Linked DNA regions of Arabidopsis thaliana. The protein of the gene in region 1 interacts with the protein of each later gene in a pairwise test. Each region holds a gene or a part of one and is shown on either strand. Other genes may lie near its edges.

Region 1 (5,659 bases):
AGATCCTCTCCACGTCCCGACAACCATCAAAATTCAAAGCCTTCTTCTTTCTGTTTCCTCCATCATGCTCTTTAACTCATTTTTTCCCTAGCATATCAATTTTAAAAAAATAGTTTGCAATTTACGGCAATAAAATGTGGGCAACAAAAACAAAACTGAATATTTACATTCGTTTTCATTGTACAATAGAGGGTACATTCAAAAAATACAACTCACTCATTATCCTAGATTGCTTTGCCATATAATAGTAGAATACGTAAGAATGTGTCTACGATGTATTCTAAAGGATAACAAGGGCTATGTGAATTATAAAATCAAGGCTATATATGTGTATGCATATTTTGGTTCGTGTAAACATGTTAAAAAGTTGCTTTGTTGTAATCTATTTAGAAGCACATGCATGTTGTAATCTAGCTTCGAGAGATGTTGCACAACATGTATCAGAATGCTTTAGCAATATTGCTTTATTAATTATAAGTTGAAGATATTGTTTCCTTCTTGTTTGTTATATGATATAACTTTATTAATCCATTGGTTTCATTGTGACCAAGAAGAAGAGGTTTGCTAGAATTTCCTCGTTCTCGCTGCAATAGTACTTAGTGATTAGTTAATTGATAATCATAAATCATATCAACATTCACTTCTCTCAGACTGCTATCATTTAGTGAATCATAATCTCTGCTAATATTGAAAAATTGGGAGACGAGAGATAGATGAGAGTTGTAGCTAGCTTTAGTCAAAGTGGTCCTCTTCTAATGTGACTATACCACCGTTTCCATTCTTTCAAACATTGAAACATTTATGCTGCGGTGGAGAGAAATAAACATTTCAGAAAAATTAATTGATAGATGTACTCGTCGATGAAACTATATCGAAACAATATTGAAAAAAGTATTACCAAACACAACTTATATGTCACTAAAACTCGTCTTTTTTCTTTGTATGGTCAAAACACTAAAACTCGTTCAACAACTGAAAAGATTGTCGTATTGAAATAAAATTCTTTGCCCGAATAGTTGTACATATGTATTTTTTTGTTAAGATCATTTTGATATTTAAGATACTAAAAATTCTGCAGAAGACATGCATATTTTAAAGTTTAATAAATGGATTACTTTAGAGATTGAGTCTATGAAACTGAATACTAAACATTTTTGGATTCCAACAAATATATTATGGCTCTGAATGGTAATCAAAACCGCACTTAAAACCGCACCGCAACAGTACTGTAACAGTATTAAAATCTCTACATATTCATATGTATCTATATATTTTCGTTACTATTTGAACCGCACCGTACTTCTCCCGCACCGCAAAACGCAATCACCATTCGGAGCTTATATCATGGAGATGTAGCTGGGCAAACATATGATATCGATATCCAGACCCTAAAGAATTTTAAAATATCAAAAAATTATTTGTACCCTCAAACAAATTTAAATTGAATTTTATTGACACTTTAACACGTGTAACAGTTAAATTGGACGACTCTTTCTAAAACGAAATAAAAAAGAGTTTAACAAGAGATTCGTTTCAGTTTAAGAAGAAAAAAAACACGAGATTAGTCTTCCAACATGGACAAGGACATGACAATTTGCACGTAATCATATAGTTACGTTAATCAATACAATTACGTAAATTAATTTATTATGGCACGTCACAGCATCATCGTAGATCAAGGGTAAAACAGTCATTCTCCATCATCCAGGCATATTCCGGTCGGTGAATTGAGGAGGTTGAGCGATAAATTTTCCAATTCGATTCTATATTATTGGAAACTACTTTCGGGTCGGCAAAACAATTCTCCTTCGATTTTCCGATTCTCACAAACTCAATCTCGATCCAGATTCCGAGCTTATCCTTCTCTGGCGAATTTCGATTTTCTGTGTTTCCGATCTGATTACAGAGAACCACATCGAAGCTTCGAGAAAAAAAAACACGATGTTTAACGGGTTAATGGATCCTGAGATGATTCGGCTCGCTCAAGATCAGATGAGTCGTATGACTCCTGCTGATTTCGCTAGGATCCAACAACAGGTTTCGTTATTTTTCCTGATTCGAATTATTCGATCGATTCTGAGGAGAATTTGTTTGATTTGATTTGATTATGGCTTTGTATGATGAATTTATACCATTGTTTATTATACAGATGATGTCAAATCCAGATTTGATGAATATGGCAACAGAGAGTATGAAGAACATGAGGCCTGAAGATTTGAAACAAGCTGCGGAACAGCTTAAGCATACTCGGCCTGAAGATATGGCTGAGATTAGCGAGAAGATGGCTAAAGCTTCCCCTGAAGATATTGCAGCTATGCGTGCTCATGCTGATGCTCAATTTACTTATCAGATCAATGCAGCTCAGATGCTTAAAAAACAGGTAACAATTGACTTCCTGAGAGAAGTTTTCTATTGAATTTTGCTTTCCTGATTATAAAGTAAGGAACAAGAATGGCTTCAGCAAGTGGACCTTTGTGTAATTTGATGTTAATCTCATTTTCTACTACGTTTGGCAGGGAAACGAGCTTCATAGCCGAGGAAATTTCAGCGATGCCGCAGAGAAATACTTGCGTGTAAGTCTGCAGACGTATCTCATTTGTCATGCTACTTGACAAGAAGAGTTTTATTTGTAACCTGATATGCGATTCTTTTCTACTTGTTTACAATGCTCTTGGACCATATCTCAGGCGAAGAACAATCTGAAAGAGATTCCATCTTCTAAAGGTGGAGCAATTTTGTTGGCTTGTTCTCTCAATCTAATGTCGTGTTATTTGAAGACGAATCAGCATGAAGAGTGCATAAAGGAAGGTTCTGAGGTATATTCTTTATGCTCTTAATTTTCTGAAAACTCATAGATGAAAACATTTTTAGGAAAAAGAGAGATGGCAATCTTTTGGCTTCTTTTTTGTAGATGTAACACATGATGTCATACAGCGTTTTATGATCTATTCAAAACTGTTTCGACATTCTTCTGATAAATTTACATTCTTACATTATTTCAGGTTTTGGGATATGATGCAAGGAATGTCAAAGCCCTATACAGAAGGGGTCAAGCTTACAGAGATTTGGGCTTGTTTGAAGTGAGTTCTTCTGTTGCTTATGGAACTTTCTTGAGATTCCTTGTCGATATATATGTTTGTACTGTAGATATGTCCTGACTATATGTTTGCTCAATGCTCATTCACTCTCTTAAACTATAAGGATGCCGTCTCTGATCTAAGCAAGGCCCATGAAGTTTCCCCAGAAGATGAGACAATTGCCGATGTGTTAAGGTATGGATTTTTATATTCATTACTGGTAATGTCATACTTTTCAGTTCTGCTTATCTCAGAGGTTTTGATATTAACATTGAAAAAATAACTTTTGACTTGAAGTATTATCTTTTCTGATGCAGAGATGTTAAGGAAAGATTGGCTGTCGAGGGACCTGGCAAGGCATCAAGAGGTATAATATTATTCCTTATGATTTATTCGAAAGAATTCAGTGTATTATGTCAGACCAGACGTTTCTTTACTACATCAATGATATGCTTCGTCCATGAATATGGAAACGAACTGAAAAATGTTATGTTGTTTGGTTATTAGGTGTGGTGATTGAAGACATAACTGAAGAAAATAATGTTACTTCCGGAGAGAATAAAAAACCGTCAAAAGAGGCTAATGGTCATGCTCAGGGCGTAAAGACTGATGTTGATGGATTGCAAGCTCTCAGAGATAATCCAGAAGCAATCAGGTTCGACACCTTTCCAAACATTAGTGTTTGATGTGTTGTTTCATCTTTTTGTCTCCTAATCTTGAAGACAAATATAATCTAAAGCATCCTTTTTCTGCTACATTTGGCACGATTAGTATGATTTTCTAATTGTTTTTATTCTTTCTATGGCCTGCAGAACTTTCCAGAATTTCATTTCAAAAACTGATCCCGATACACTTGCTGCTCTAAGCGGAGGCAAAGCTGGAGACATGTCACCGGACATGTTCAAAACTGCGTCAAGTATGATAGGCAAAATGTCACCTGAAGAGATTCAAAAAATGGTTCAAACAGCCTCTTCGTTTAAAGGAGATAACCCTTTCGCCCCGACTGCGCCATCTACCGAAAACGGTTTTACACCCACACCTGACATGCTTAAACTTGCATCTGATATGATGGGTAAGATGTCACCAGAAGAGCGTGAGAGGATGTTTAACATGGCATCGTCTTTGAAAGCAAACGCTCCAGCTTCAACATCATACGGCAATGCAGAAGCATCTGAACCACGGGAAAGTTTAGGAGCGAGTGGGAGTTCTTCGGGAAATTCCTTTGTGGCTCCAAGAAGCGGTTTCGAACCAAGCATCCCTTCTGCTCCGCCTGCTGACTTACAGGAACAGATGAGAAACCAAATGAAAGATCCAGCGATGCGACAGGTTTGATCATTTTCGGTTTATGTTTTACCAATTTAGTCAACATAATGTGATTGTTGATGTTCATATAGTAGTTTCTCTGTATATTGGTAGATGTTCACGTCTATGATAAAGAACATGAACCCTGAGATGATGGCTAGCATGAGCGAACAATTTGGAATGAAGCTTTCTCAAGAAGACGCTGCAAAAGCTCAGCAAGCCATGGCTTCTCTTTCTCCCGACGCCTTGGAGAAAATGGTACGAATTCGGTTTAGTAAAACCAAAAGAACATTCAAAGTTGATTGTATAGTTGTCTCAATTGTAAACACGTTGTTGCAGATGCGATGGGCGGATCGGGCTCAAACCGGGATGGAGAAAGCGAAGAAAGCAAAGAAGTGGTTGTTCGGAAAAGGCGGATTGATCTTTGCAATATTAATGCTCGTTTTAGCAATGGTCCTTCACCGTCTCGGCTATATTGGAAACTAGAGGAAACAACGGTATCTTAAGGCTTAATCCTTCGTGAAGATAAAACCAGTCTTCGGTGGGTTCGTTTAGTTTGTAAAACTGTAACATCGTTTTATCTTCTTTTTCTTTCCTCTAACTCTCAGCTTTTTGTTAGTCCACTTGTGTCTAAATTTCTTTACACTTTCTTCTGTAGTGAATTTTAAATTAGAGAAAATACGAATATTTCCTTATATTCGTTATTTTATAAACATAATTATGCTTCTGGTAGAGCGCCTCTACAAGAAAATTGGTTATTTGCGTTGGGAGATTCTTTTAGCAAATAGAAAAGACCATTTCTAATGGTTGTCTCTATTTTTCTTTATAAATATAGAAGGAAAAATAGAGATTTTTATTTTCTATTTTTATATATAGAGAAAAAAAATAAAGATCTCTATAATAGAGGTAAGAATAAAGATGAGTTAGAGTAAAATAGAGGCAAAAATAAAGTTTAAAGACAAAAATAAAGATGAGTTGGAGATGTTCTAAAGAGAAAAGTTCGAGTAAAAAATTTTTTTTTCGCAATCCAACGTTTGCAAATTTTGCGAGGAGAAATTTTGAAATAAGTATATAAAATCATCTTAAACTTTATTAAATTCATAGATATTAAAAAAATAAAAAAACTTCATTAAATTTTAAATTATATTTTTTTTTGTGCACCCAAAATTTAGATAATTTAATTATTTTAATATACGACTGAATACACATTCTTCAAAAGTAAAAAATAAAGAAAAAACTTAGAAGGATGAAGTACAAGAGAAGGAAACACGTGTCTTAAT
Region 2 (6,218 bases), on another chromosome or scaffold:
TATTTATAAGTTGAAAGATTATACAACTAACTTTGTATGCGTTAATGATAAACAACAATAATAATTCTAAACTATTTGAAAAATATTATTAGCTAGTAAATGATTTCTGAGTTGGATTTTTTCGAGATAATGTCACTGTTTACTGGCATTTCAATCCTACTGTTGCAAACCTTATTTTGTGAAATATTCTTAGTGTGGACAAAAATCTTGGATCGTAATCATCTAGTACAGTACTTTCTAATCGTCAATTAGATTGAAGAACTATATTAAATGTTTACATATATTTTTGGTATCACTTGCTTCTTTATTTGCATCTTTCCTACCTGATCTTAAGTTTACTCGGTTTAAAACTACTGTATATAGCAAACTTGCAATGACATGCAATATGCTATGATTGTTTTCTTTTGTTATAAATGTTAATATCATATATAAAATGAAAGAAATGTATTACAAAAGAGCATTAACCTAATCACCAGATTGCGAAAACCTTTTAGATGTCTTCTTGAAGATATGGTATTGCAAATTTCACGGTCAAAATTCTTGAAAATGATCGAAGAAAGCAGTGACTGTGAATTATGTAAGACATTATTTACTTGTTTTCAAATGTGGTAAACTCCACCGTGTGCTGCCATTTTTTTGAGAGTGGAAGGAACATTTGGTGAACGAGTTTTTGTCCAAGAGAGAAGCTCAAACTATGTGGAAGGCATATGCGTGTGCTGCCAGTTTCTTGAGAGTGGTAGGAACATTTGGTGAACGAGTTTTTGTCCAAGAGAAAAGCTCAAACCATGTGGAAAGCATATTCGTGTGCTGCCAGTTTCTTGAGAGTGGTAAGAACATTTGGTGAACAAAAGCTCAAACTATGTGGAAGGCATATGATGCGAGAAATGCTTAACCGAGAAAAAAATTAGCCTCCAAATCTCACAAGCAAAATCTCAAGTTAATAAGCATTTTAGCAGTGGTGTCTATGTACAACAATATCATAATATGAAAGCCAGTAATAAAATTTAAATGGTATGAAAAACGATAATAGCTATATAATAACATTTTCTTTGTTTTTAATATCTATATTTTGTTTTAGTTATATATAATATTAACATGTCAACAAAGTTTTCAAATAACTGATTATTTAATATAATCAAAACAAGTAAAATTATACGATATTTGGCTAGATTTAAAACGACTATTTTAGTGAATCGAATAACCAAATCATACCAAACTCATTCAAAATCATTATTAGCTTTCGTTACAGTAGATAAAAAAGTATTGGTAACCATGCTCTTATAAATTTAATTGAATTAGACAGTTTATGATTAAATCGATAATAATAACGAAGATTGATGTATTTTGCAAGTAGAACAATTTATTTCTGGTCGAAATATAAATAGTTACAACAAAACAGTTTTCTTAAAATCATTAAATATTTGTTTTGTTTAAATCTCTATTTTGTTGTAACTATTTACAATCTCTAGATCACATTAAATCTCTAGAACATATAAGAGATTTGTTGCAATCCCTATTACAATATCTGGATCACATTAAATCTCTAGAGCATATAATCCCTCTTTGATCCATATCCTTTTCTCTTTTTCCTTTCTAATTTATAAAAAATGTGATTTTTTTTGGGAAATTCGTTTTCGTTCACCATAAAAACTTTGCTATTAATAATTACTCTAATTTAATGGAAAATAAATAACTCGTAAAAATGTAAAGAGAGAAATGAATTGCGAAATATTTTAATTGAGAAGGTAAAGAAAAGTGAATAAGCAAGTAAAGAAGAAAGAACTCACCAATCAGAAATCAGAAATTAGAAGAGAAGAGAAGCATAAAGAAAAAAAAACTGCAACGCCGTTTGTTGCCGATCTGCAGCAGCGCGATCTCTCTGATTATAGAGAGCTATCATCCTAGGTGAGCTTCTTCTTCGATTTCCTCTTCTACAATATCCTTTCAAGTTCGATTTCATCTTCTTTCACCAATTATTGGTTTTGCTTCCTTCCCGTAGTTTCGTTTGTTTGTTTTCTAAGGTTTTGTGTCGATCTCAAAGTGAGTCCAGGGATTCATATACCTTTAGACTAGATTAGCCGAGATCTATTAGTGTTGATCTCCGTCATGTAGAATCCCTAATTAATTTCAGTGGCCTCAGATCCAGCTTTTCATGTTATTGATAATTTTGTATCCTTGAAGCTTTTTGGATGTTGTGAGATTATAACAGAGCTTTTCCTTTCAGCAGAATAGAATCTCTCAGTTTAAAGGCTCCAAAGATGGCGGCGTCAGAAGAGAATAGCGCATTGTTTCCCATTTTTATCTTGACGATTATGGCAATTCCTTTGGTGCCTTACACCATGGTCAAGTTAAGCGGTGCTCTCTCCAAGAAACAAAGGACCATTCATTGTCAGTGTCTCGAGTGTGACCGTTCTGGAAAATATAAGAGATCCTTGTTTAAAAAGGTTACTTTCCACTCAACCTCCTGCTCTGTAATAGATTATTGCATGTTCCTAACCTCTTCTTCACTTATCTATCTGCAGATCTCTAACTTCTCTACGTGGAGCAACTTGACACTTGTGCTACTCTGGGTCGTGATGATTTTCTTGATTTATTACACTAAGAACATGAGCCGTGAGGTAATCCCATTGCTTGCTGTTGAACTTGAATGCACCGCTGACTTATATCAACTAATTCTACTTGCTTATTTACCTTCTTTTGTGTTACAGGCTCAAGTTTTTGACCCATTCAGTATACTTGGACTGGAACCTGGAGTTACAGATTCAGAAATAAAGAAAGCATATAGAAGGCTGTCGATTCAATACCATCCTGATAAAAATCCAGATCCAGGTCAAGTTTTTCCCCTTGTTATTTTTTTTTTCCCTTTTGATCATTACGGAATTATGGTTGCAGCTTTTGATCCTGATAGTTTTTTCTTCTATGCGCATTTGTTGATCTCTACAGAAGCCAATAAATATTTTGTGGAGTTCATATCTAAAGCATACCAGGCTTTGACTGATTCAGTATCCCGTGAAAACTTTGAGAAGTATGGTCATCCAGATGGCAGACAGGTAAGGATACATCTCCTTTCCCTTCGCATGTGCTCCCGTCTTATTGACAAGCCTATTGAGACTAAAATATTGTTATGTGATCGCAGGGATTTCAAATGGGCATTGCTCTTCCTCAATTTCTTCTAGACATTGATGGAGCATCTGGTGGCATATTATTGCTTTGGATAGTTGGTGTCTGTATTCTCTTGCCCCTTGTGATTGCTGTTATATATCTCTCGAGGTCATCAAAGTATACTGGGAACTACGTTATGCATCAAACACTCTCCGCATATTATTATCTAATGAAACCCTCTCTGGCCCCAAGGTATATTCACTCATACCCATATACATTCAAGTGATGCTATTGGTGCATGACAAATGGGCTGTGTTTTCGTTTGTTTGTATGACATGTTTTAAAATTTTTATTGTCCAGCAAAGTTATGGAAGTTTTCACCAAGGCAGCTGAGTACATGGAGATTCCAGTTCGTAGAACTGATGATGAACCTCTGCAGAAGCTCTTTATGTCTGTTAGGAGTGAACTAAATTTGGACCTGAAGAACATGAAGCAAGAGCAAGCTAAGTTTTGGAAACAGCATCCTGCCATAGTGAAGGTGAATTTTAAAATTATGCAACTGTAATGCTAAATATTGGATAAACTGAAATACTCACTTCCTCAATTTCTGTACAGACCGAGCTGTTGATACAAGCCCAGTTAACTCGTGAATCAGGAGTCCTGTCTCCAGCCCTTCAGGGTGATTTCAGGCGTGTGCTAGAGCTTGCACCTCGCCTCCTTGAGGAGTTATTGAAGGTCTAGTCTCTATTTAAATAACACAATTTCTGATAAAATAACCATCAAAAAGCGATGACCGCAAAGTGCTAACCTAGAAGATATGTATTTTCCTTTAGAGGAACTCGAAACAGACTCTTAAAAGACTTAGAAATTTAGGTTAATAGTGATGCTTTTGGTTACACTGTTAAATTGTGGTTTTCTTAACCATTCTTTCATTATAACATTGTGAGTTTCTTGCAGATGGCGGTTATACCACGCACTGCCCAAGGGCATGGATGGCTGAGGCCTGCAGTTGGAGTAGTTGAGCTATCTCAGTGCATTGTTCAGGTCTTAAATTGCTCTCATCGCCTATCTTCTAGTTTTTATTTGTTTGTGAGCTTTCAGTTCTTTATGTCTCTTTTCTCCACAAGATTTACTTCTTCCTGAAAGTTTAAGAAGTGCTTAGTGTTGTTGTCTAGGAACATAAACTAAAAATCCAAAATCGCAGGCTGTTCCTCTTAGTGCAAGGAAGTCTTCTGGAGTATCATCAGAAGGCATTTCCCCTTTCTTACAGCTCCCTCATTTCAGTGATGCCGTTGTCAAAAAGATAGCACGGAAGGTATACTACTATCAAATGTGTCAAGTGCAGTACTAATATCTAGTTCCATATCATGTGCATTTTTCTCTCACTTTTTGATTCCTGAGAATCTTGTTGGATTCTGTTCTCCAAATAAGTAGTAGTGGTTCTTTAGGTTGGTTTACTTAAAGGTCTAGTCTAAAGACATATATAAACCTCCATTTTATGTTAACATGTCATTGTTTCTCCTATTTTCAGAAGGTTAAATCATTCCAAGATCTTCAAGAAATGAGGTTGGAAGACCGTTCTGAACTACTTACTCAGGTAGCGGGTTTATCAGCAACTGATGTTGAGGACATTGAGAAGGTGCTAGAAATGATGCCGTCTATTACAGTCGACATCACATGTGAAACAGAAGGGGAAGAGGGGATCCAAGAGGGAGACATTGTGACCCTTCAAGCTTGGGTCACCCTGAAACGACCCAATGGGCTTGTAGGCGCTCTTCCTCATGCACCCTACTTCCCCTTCCACAAGGAGGAAAACTATTGGGTTCTTCTGGCTGATTCAGTGTCGAACAACGTTTGGTTCTCTCAGAAGGTTAGCTTCCTGGATGAAGGTGGAGCGATAACGGCTGCATCAAAAGCCATCAGTGAGTCAATGGAAGGTTCGGGTGCAGGGGTGAAGGAAACAAACGATGCAGTGAGAGAAGCGATTGAGAAGGTTAAAGGAGGGTCAAGGCTGGTCATGGGTAAACTCCAAGCACCGGCAGAGGGAACATACAACTTGACTTGCTTCTGCCTGTGTGACACATGGATCGGGTGTGACAAAAAGCAAGCACTGAAAGTGAAAGTCCTGAAAAGAACCAGGGCAGGGACACGTGGGTTGGTTTCAGATGAGGGTGCGATTGCAGAAGAAGGTATGGAGGAGGAAGATGAGATTGAGGAGGAGGATTACGATGATGATTACGAAAGTGAGTACAGTGAAGATGAGGATGAGAAGAAAGATATGGATGAGAAGAGAGGGTCGAAGAAGGCCAATGGGAGTGTGAAACAGAAGAAAGAGTCGAGTTCTGAAGAGTCGGGATCGGAGGAAGAGTGAAACAGAAATGAGATTTTACATTGATAAACAAAACAAAAAATACAATACTTTTGTCCTGGAATCTTGACGGAAACTTCTTTTTCACAGTTTTGATATTCTCTCATTGGCTCCCTTCTCTTTCTTTCTCTCTGTATCACTTTTCTTCAGAGACACACATACAAGCAAAACGCGACTAAGGAGAAAATCGTACTAACTCGGACAAATTTTGGTACACAGCATTACAAAACAAAACAAAACTTTTTAACTCCCCCAAATAGTTTAGGGTTTAGGGTTTATTGGGGGCCCCAATACAGACCATCAGGTATCAGGTAATGGGCCTTGTTAATAAAGTAGTGGGTTATAATGGGCTTTACGGTTGTTTCAAGAAGTGGAAGCCCTACAAGGCGGGAAAATCAGAAGAGGCGCGTCTGCTTCCGTCTTCTTCTTCGTCTTCTCCGGAGAGGTTTTGTGGTGTTATCGGCGGAATCCGACCCGAAAATGCCAAATTACAGCATCAGAGGAATCAATGTTGAATTCCCATTCGAGGCGTACCAGTCTCAGATCATATACATGGACAGAGTCATCGAGTCTCTTCAAAACGTGGGTTTCCCTCTCCCTCTCTCTCTCTCTCTTTTTTACACACCAACTCTCTTCAACTGTTTTGTTGATGATGATATTCGCGTGATGATACTCTCTCTCTCTCTCTCTATTCTGTTGTTTATTTTGCTTTCCCCAATTCTATATCGCTTTTTAGGGTTCTTCCCCG

Evidence for each region.
Region 2: the proteins of TPR7 (region 1) and ATERDJ2A interact in a protein complementation assay, tested with the Arabidopsis thaliana proteins (one study listed by BioGRID).

What each region holds. Positions count from the first base shown.
Region 1 is NC_003076.8:7,271,454-7,277,112, forward strand, and holds TPR7 (Tetratricopeptide repeat (TPR)-like superfamily protein), read left to right. Parts: upstream 1-1,617; 5' UTR 1,618-1,941; coding exon 1,942-2,037; intron 2,038-2,149; coding exon 2,150-2,380; intron 2,381-2,516; coding exon 2,517-2,573; intron 2,574-2,687; coding exon 2,688-2,816; intron 2,817-3,002; coding exon 3,003-3,080; intron 3,081-3,201; coding exon 3,202-3,272; intron 3,273-3,394; coding exon 3,395-3,444; intron 3,445-3,584; coding exon 3,585-3,732; intron 3,733-3,889; coding exon 3,890-4,403; intron 4,404-4,493; coding exon 4,494-4,637; intron 4,638-4,718; coding exon 4,719-4,865; 3' UTR 4,866-5,126; downstream 5,127-5,659. UniProt on the Arabidopsis thaliana protein: Plays a role in protein import into the endoplasmic reticulum (ER). May function as chaperone docking protein during post-translational protein translocation into the ER. Chaperone receptor mediating Hsp70-dependent protein targeting to chloroplasts.
Region 2 is NC_003070.9:30,067,765-30,073,982, forward strand, and holds ATERDJ2A (DnaJ / Sec63 Brl domains-containing protein), read left to right. Parts: upstream 1-1,754; 5' UTR 1,755-1,905; exon of another isoform or gene 1,906-1,948; intron 1,949-2,224; exon of another isoform or gene 2,225-2,227; 5' UTR 2,228-2,258; coding exon 2,259-2,444; intron 2,445-2,522; coding exon 2,523-2,618; intron 2,619-2,708; coding exon 2,709-2,829; intron 2,830-2,943; coding exon 2,944-3,050; intron 3,051-3,136; coding exon 3,137-3,354; intron 3,355-3,462; coding exon 3,463-3,640; intron 3,641-3,717; coding exon 3,718-3,837; intron 3,838-4,059; coding exon 4,060-4,146; intron 4,147-4,306; coding exon 4,307-4,417; intron 4,418-4,633; coding exon 4,634-5,473; 3' UTR 5,474-5,676; downstream 5,677-6,218. Other genes in the region: AT1G79950 (RAD3-like DNA-binding helicase protein), read left to right, coding at 5,816-6,052. UniProt on the Arabidopsis thaliana protein: Required for integral membrane and secreted preprotein translocation across the endoplasmic reticulum membrane.